Sus scrofa: one gene and its partner. The protein of the gene in region 1 purifies or fractionates together with the protein of each later gene. This does not show direct contact. Links are inferred from orthologs where the notes say so. Each region holds a gene or a part of one and is shown on either strand. Other genes may lie near its edges.

Region 1 (3,512 bases):
GACAATTAAAATAGTTAATCTTGAAACCGGTAACTCCAGGAATTACATCTCTAAGCAGATTTTTTTTTTTCTTTAAATGCAGCAAAATGTTGCTCCTATTTTATCCTTCAAGAGATAATTACTGGTCAAATCTTTTCCATGATATTGACATTTTTTTAACATTAAATACTGACTGAATCAAAGACTAAAATCTCACTAAATTTCATCCTTTAAAATTTAAAGCAGTGACATCACCTCTACAAAATCAGGCTTCAAAGAAGTTTTAAAATTCTCCATACAGATCTTAAATGACTATTGTCTTCCAAAGCTTTCCAAAAAATCTCTTCCAAAAACTTGCTTCAAAGGCCTAATTTTTCTTAGGAATAAAATTCATTTACAGGTTGTCTTAAGCCTATCAGGTTTTACAATTTCTGCTTGTCTTCTTCTCATATTAATGAAATCAAAATGAACATTTTTGAACAATTACTGAAGTCTACCACCCAAAGAGTTTCAACATTTGTATACAATCAACAAACTATTAATTTAAATCTAAGGATCCCTGTACTGATGAAAGAGGACTGTAAGCAATCCTTTGTATTTTTACAATATTCTTTGTGGGGCCCCCTTTATTGCATCCGCAAAATGTAAACCCAGCCTTCACTATAAATAAAGGCAGAAGATGCCTAATGTACATGAATTTGATTATATCTCACTCGATTATTACTGGCTTGTATGGGGCAATCTGCATGCTCACTAATTCAGCCACCATTCTCTTCATTAGAGTTTTTAAAGCCATATTTATCAAAGATAATTCTCCAAATAACCTTTAATAAATATCTCCTCATGATATTATCCATTGTATTTATTCTTTTCATCCAATAGATGAGCAACTTCATAGTATTACTAAAAACCCTCTTCAAGTTATATTGCTTTTAAAGCATTTGTCTTTGACAGAGTTCTCAAGTTTGGGTAAACTTTAGTATTTGCATTATTAGATGACCCCTTTGAAACTGCGCTGATACTATAGTTTGTTTTTACTCCCTATAAACAGCACTGAGGTTGGACAATCCCTAATTATAAATTAACACTAAAACTCATCTTGTCCAACAGTTTATGATTGCTGTCTCAATAAGAGAAAGAAGAACTGAAACACTATGCTATTGTTGTACTCTGGCTCACAAAGAAAATGTTCATCAGGAAGACAGGTATAAAAATGATAGCATACAGTTTCTCCATGACCAAGCTTAATAAAAACTCCCTCCAAAGTTTCCACCCACAGAAGAGTTATGGCCACATAATATCACCAGTGAGAGTCACTTCTAAAGCATCACTTTAAAAAAAATCTCTAGATGGTTTTCTTTATGGGCCCATTAAATGAGGGGAAAAAAGGCTCCTTCAATTTTGAGGGTCCATAAAAAAGCTAGACTGTTTCTTCTTTTAAAAAATTAATACAGGTGTTCCCTTATGTTATATCAGGTTAAGGACCCAGGCTTGTTGCTGCAGCAGCTCTGGTTGCTGCTGTGGCACAGGTTTTATCCCTGGCCTGGGAACAATTCACATGCCGTGGGTGTGGCCAAATAGTAATAATAATAATAATAATAATATAGACATTTCATATAGTACACAGATATCTATAGCCAGAAAGTCCATCTTCTTTGCGCCTTGTCTTAGCCTACAGGCGAGGGCTTTAATGCCTCAAGATTCATAACTATAGCCAAGAAAATAGGTCAGGAATAAAACTGAGCTTAGAGGAGAAAGCAGATAAGTTTACTAGAAAAGAGCTCTGACTATGGATCCATTGTCCAGCCTTTTGCTACAAGTCTGAGGAAACAGAAAAAAGACCAAGCTTGGGAAACTAGAGATAGAAACCTTTCTAAGGTTTCTGAATGTGGCCATAGCTTTTGCTAGAGTTGATTTTGAAGAACTGTATTTTTAACTCAATATATAGCTTTAAAGCAGAGTTCAGTTTTACTGTTTTACAATGAAATGGTTATATACAGATGGGATGGAAACGGTATTAAAGATTATTCTTCAACTACTCTTTTAAAAGAAAACATAATTGATAGTATTTGTTAAAACGAGCAGTGCCACAAAACAGAAATGTATATGGAAAGCACCAAACCACAAACTTTTTATAGTTGCAGGCATATACCAACCAGCATAGCATCAATATAGTCATCAATGTTTCTGTAGCATTGAAGCATTTCGAATTGGCTTCTGAAGTTTAAAACATAGCTCTATCATGTTCATAAACTTTCCCCTCCACTTAAATTATATTTGCCTAACATATAACGGACAAATCAAGAGTCAAGATAAATTTTCAAAAGGCTCAAGCCAACATGAAAAATTTAAACTCCTAGAATATTTAAAAATAAAACACAATGAAACACACACATACATACACCAGTGCAATAAGAACTTCAGACAAGGGCAGTGCATCTCTGGTTTAAGGAAACCACATTTGTTGCTTAATTATAACAACCTCTATTCTAAATGATGGTTTAATGTTACATCCAGCATTTGATACACATTTAATACGTATGGTCAAAACCCTGAAAAACCAATTCAACAGTAATATGATATCTTATCAGTAACAAATTCCTACTTTATTTCTATATTGCACATACTTTTAGTGTCTACTGTTAAAATAAATTTATCTTCTTAATGTAAATATCTGAGAATTATACCTGTTGCCCTTGTAAAAATAATTTACCTTGAGTAAATATTCAGATTTTACTTTCTTGATAAACTAGAATGAAGATGATTTCAGCTTTGTCAGTCCAAAACTGTTTTAAAGAGAATGGCTCTTTATGTGGCCAAGATATTGGAAATGGCATGTTAAACACAAAATTCTTGGTTTACTATCCATTTCAGGTTTGAAAAATATTTCTATATTTGGAGTGTTTAAAAGTCTGACCCTTTTTTAAACTAACGAATACTCCCCAAAGAGATCAATCATATCCTTGACTGGTCTGGAGCACTGTTTGGAAAAGTAGACACAGAGAAAAAGCTTATGTGTGATGAAATGGCATATAACACAAATAGCATTAAATGGGTCACCTGTTTCACATAAAATAAAATGACTAGCACCTCCTTCCTGCTCCCAAAGCGTAGAGGCCTAACAGGCCACGTGAAACATGAGTAAGTACAGTAAGCGTCATTCATAAAGTATTGAGGAATCCGTTACATCAGAAGGTCCTCACATCTAAAGCCTTAAGTTCAAGGCTACTGTGTGAGGGTGAACTGAAGGGCAAGGGAGAGAGGGGGGATACTGGACGGATGGTCCTTAGAGGCCTGCAGGAATCTGGAATCAGGGACTTTCCTGCATCCCGTCCTCAGTCTCCAGTTCTGCCAACTGCCTCCTAAGGATATTTACTTTTGCTTGTAATTCCTTGTTATATTCAATGATGTTAACCATCTCCTCATATGCTTCATCCAGATATTTGGAGGATCTGTTCCAACGCAGGAAAATACCTATTGAATCCATGAAAGGAAAACAGAAAGGGAAAAGATACACACAATGGATTGGCATT
Region 2 (3,947 bases), on another chromosome or scaffold:
TAGTGCTACTATGAACATGTGTATGAGTATCCGTTTCCAATGGGGGGGGATATACCTAGAAATGAAGTTGCAGAGTCATACGGTAATTCTATATTTAACCTTTTGAGCAACTGCCAAGCTGTTTTCCACAGTAGCTAACCCATTGGAGGGCTACAATTTCTCCACATCCTCACCAATGCTTATTATTTTCCATTTTTTAAAAAATTATAGCCTGCATCATAGTGCTTGGATCAATCTTTTGCACAAACTCAGCAGGACCCTCCACTGGATACCACCTAGGAAACAATCAAAAAATAGTAGTATCTGAGGACTAAAATCAGAGTGTCTGAAATGGGAATGGCCCTTAAATATATAGAAACACTCCAAATTTTTATCACCAGGTAGCAGGCTTATGAGTGATTATTATTTGTTTCCTGCTTTTGTGTTTTTCCAAGTTTTCTGTAATGAACATTTGGAAATGTACCTTGCAGCCATTTCCTTCTACTTAAGTCATATAACCCAGGGCTGGTATTTTTCAAACCAAAAGATGATCAATAAAAACAGTTCCACACTTTCATAGAAAGCCAAGGAAGATATTTTTAAAGTCATGAATAAGATCTAGCCCAACCCTCTCATCTAAAGGAGAAAAAATTGGGCCCAGAAAAGGAAAATAACCCAGGCAAAGGCCATAAACTACTATTATCTTGATCACATTTGTTAGATGGCCAAGGAAGGTCAAGGCAAAGCCTTACCTAGACTCTGCTTTTCCTCTTCATTGCATCACATTGCCAAAAGTCCTGTTATACAGCCCATTTGATAACATATCAATGCATCCTGCAAATATTAATTCAAAGCCTACTTGACTGACCAAGGCCCTATTAACTTCATAAGATCAAAGGTGCAAGAGAGAAAGAACAAAATAGGAGGCTAAGATAGGAGGTCAGGGAAGTTTTCTCTGAACTGACATTTAAACTGAGACTTGAGAGTGAAATGCCATCGCAACTAAAGAACACTAACCATATACACATACTTTTTTAAGAAAATTTGCTCACAAGTCTTGATGACTAAGTCAAGGAATCCTGGACAAAGCTGCCCACTCTCACTAGCGTAGTACCCATCTTATTGATGCTAGTAGTCCAGGAAAGGGAAGACTTCCTTTGGGTGTTTAAAAATAACAACTTTAGGATTGGAATCGTAAGGGAGGGATGGACACATGCCTAAATCTAATAGCTTCAGGAGCCGAAATCTCGCCTTCTGACCCTCTGCTCCTGTTTTTCCCAATCTCCTCCATTGCTTTCCTCCAGTCCTTTGACCCTGGAGCCCTTGCGAGTGGTTGGCTAAGAATAGGCCCGCCTCTCGGTCAGGATTCGCTGTAAGCCACAGGAACCCCGCCTCCCCCTCTCATGATTCGCTATTCCTGGGTTCATCCCGCCTCTCCAGAGAAACAATTGGCTTCCCGGCCAGCAGCGCCGTTAGCGTACAGAGGAGCTGCACCTCGGGTCACTGGAGAGGTACTGCACTGACAGCAATGGCAGCCACGGCGTTGGCGGTGCGCTCGCGGATCGGCGCGTGGAGTGTCTGGGCCATGCAAAGCCGAGGCTTCAGCTCTGATACGGTACGCCGGCGGCAGTGCCCGCTACCCCATCCCTGAGCGGGGACTCCCATCTCTCCCTCCTCGCCTTTACCAATGCTCCGGTCTCTCTCCGCAGCCAGAGGGTGTCCGCTCCGGTGCGGGTGCAGTCCGGGACGCCGGTGGAGCCTTCGGAAAGAAAGAGCAGGCTGATGAGGAACGATACTTCCGGTGAGAGCCAAGGGGCCCAGAGACCAGCCCTGGAAGTCTCACGGCCTTCCAGTCCTTCTTAAACTGCCAACGGCCCCACCCTGCTGCCCTCCCTGGTGTTCTGTGGCGTCCCATCTCCCAACAGAACTTCCCAGCCCCGACCCACTACACTCATCGTTTGATGGCCCTACTGTTGCCACCTATAGGGCGTTCCCACTGCCCTGCCGAATCCCAAGGCCCCCAAACCCAAGACATTTCCACCTGCGAGTCTTCAGAATTCGCCAACACGGCTCAATTCTTCCTGAATCATTTACCATCTCCGCCCGTGGAGTTCTCTCCGCGTCATGCGAAACGCCCCCCAGATTCCTCCCAGAGAGTCTAGATCCGAAGGTTCCAATTACGTGCAGACCCTCTGAGCCTATCCCTCCGGCCTCCCCCACCCATCACCCAGGCCTTCGCTTTGCTAGCCCGCATGGATGGATTCCCTGACCTCAGACCCTCTCAGCCATTTCTAGATCCTCACACCTCTCCAACTTGCCTGAGCTAGTGGGTTGCAGGAGCATGTGGCAGCTGCTCCTGGTTGGAACCCTCCCCGCTTCTTGTGGGCTGGGCCTATATACTCTGTTTACCAACCTTGAGTTATCTCACAGGGACTGCTAACCACAGTGAGGAGCAGTGTGGAATTAATCTCGATTCTTGGCCTATCTTCTCACTTCTACCCTCTCCTGCTCACTCTTAAGAATTATCACCATAACAGCTACCATACCAGAGAGACAAGGTGCAGCCCTTAGAGACCTCTAATTGGCCTCCTACATTTTATAGTTAAGGAAAACTGAGGCCCATATATGGCCGAACCAACGTTTGAATCATCCCTTCTTGAGACCTACATTGGACTGCCAGGCATTGCAAGAGTCCCCTTCTTTTTTTTTTTTTTTTTTTTCCCCCTTCATTTTGACCTTTACAGTGGGCCTTGCATTTCCCAGGCAAAGAAAACTGGGATAGGACACATATATTTGTCCTTTAACGGTACCCCATTGTACATTCCCCCCACCGTTTGCTCTTTTTTCACCCCAAAAGGGATTCTATGTGTTATTCTCTAATAAGTCCCCCTATTAGAGACTTATGTCACACCTTTCTGGAGTTTTCTACTCTAAAAAGGACTCTGAAGGGAATTGCTCCTTAGTGGTGAAATTTCAGACACTGGCACCAGGAAAATGGAATCATTATGGCCATCTAGAAATGATACATCTTAAGATGGAATATTCTTTTGTAGCGGGGCCTGAGAGGGTAGAAGAGGATGACCAGCCAGACCCCAATGGGATTGGGACTCCTGTTCTTTACCTTAGGTATTTCAGGTTATGCTTAGAGATCTCTTTAGGGTGAAGGATTAGGATTAAACCAAGAGCCACTGTGTCCTTGTAGAGCTCGGGCTAGAGAACAACTGGCAGCCTTGAAGAAACATCATGAAAATGAGATCTCTCATCACGTGAAGGAGATTGAGCGCCTGCAGAAAGAAATTGAGCGGCACAAGCAGTCAATCAAGAAACTGAAAAATGATGATGATGATTAAGTGCACACAGTTACCCATAAAATGGGCACCTGTTATTGCCCACTTCTATGTAGCCATCATTCTGGTTTTAATTAATAGCTATCTGTGTGCTGCCAACAAATTACAATAAATTGTATCAGTGCACTGTGTCTAATGCCTTCTACTATCTGCAGAGGGGTAGGGGAGCACACTGCTGGACCACTAGAATAAATCAGACAGGGTTCCTGAGGTAGGGGACTGGGAGATGAAGCACAGTGTGATGAGTGCTGTGCAACATGAGGTTACTGGTGTGACACAGAATGGAAAGGCCCCTTTCCATGTCTTAACGCCAGTCAAGTTATTCAGAGGTTCCTGTTGTGGCTCAGCAGATTACAAGCCCAACTGGTATCCATGAAGATGCAGGTTCAACCCCTGGCCTCATTCAGTTAAGGATCTGGCATTGCCCCAGGCTGTGTAGGTTGCAGATATGGCTCCGATCTGGAGTCTGGCTGTGATGTAGGCCCACAGCTGCAGCTCTGATTGGACCCCTAGCCTGGGAATTTCCATATGCCACAGGTGCACCCCTCCAAAAAAAAGAGGTTTTCAGAGAGCTTGGATAAACCTCAATCCAAAGTGTAAGATCAAGAGTAGCCTGGAAAA

The links.
Region 2: the proteins of MTMR9 (region 1) and ATPIF1 purify together in Homo sapiens (affinity purification with mass spectrometry; 5 studies listed by BioGRID and IntAct, with this or other methods). This does not show direct contact. The link is inferred for Sus scrofa from reciprocal best matches to the Homo sapiens genes MTMR9 and ATP5IF1.

The regions. Positions count from the first base shown.
Region 1 is NC_010456.5:14,499,464-14,502,975, reverse strand, and holds part of MTMR9 (myotubularin-related protein 9), read right to left. Parts: intron 3,454-3,512; coding exon 3,290-3,453; 3' UTR 1-3,289. UniProt on the Homo sapiens protein: Acts as an adapter for myotubularin-related phosphatases. Increases lipid phosphatase MTMR6 catalytic activity, specifically towards phosphatidylinositol 3,5-bisphosphate and MTMR6 binding affinity for phosphorylated phosphatidylinositols.
Region 2 is NC_010448.4:85,305,765-85,309,711, forward strand, and holds ATPIF1 (ATPase inhibitor, mitochondrial precursor), read left to right. Parts: upstream 1-1,477; 5' UTR 1,478-1,507; coding exon 1,508-1,594; intron 1,595-1,688; coding exon 1,689-1,780; intron 1,781-3,181; coding exon 3,182-3,329; 3' UTR 3,330-3,447; downstream 3,448-3,947.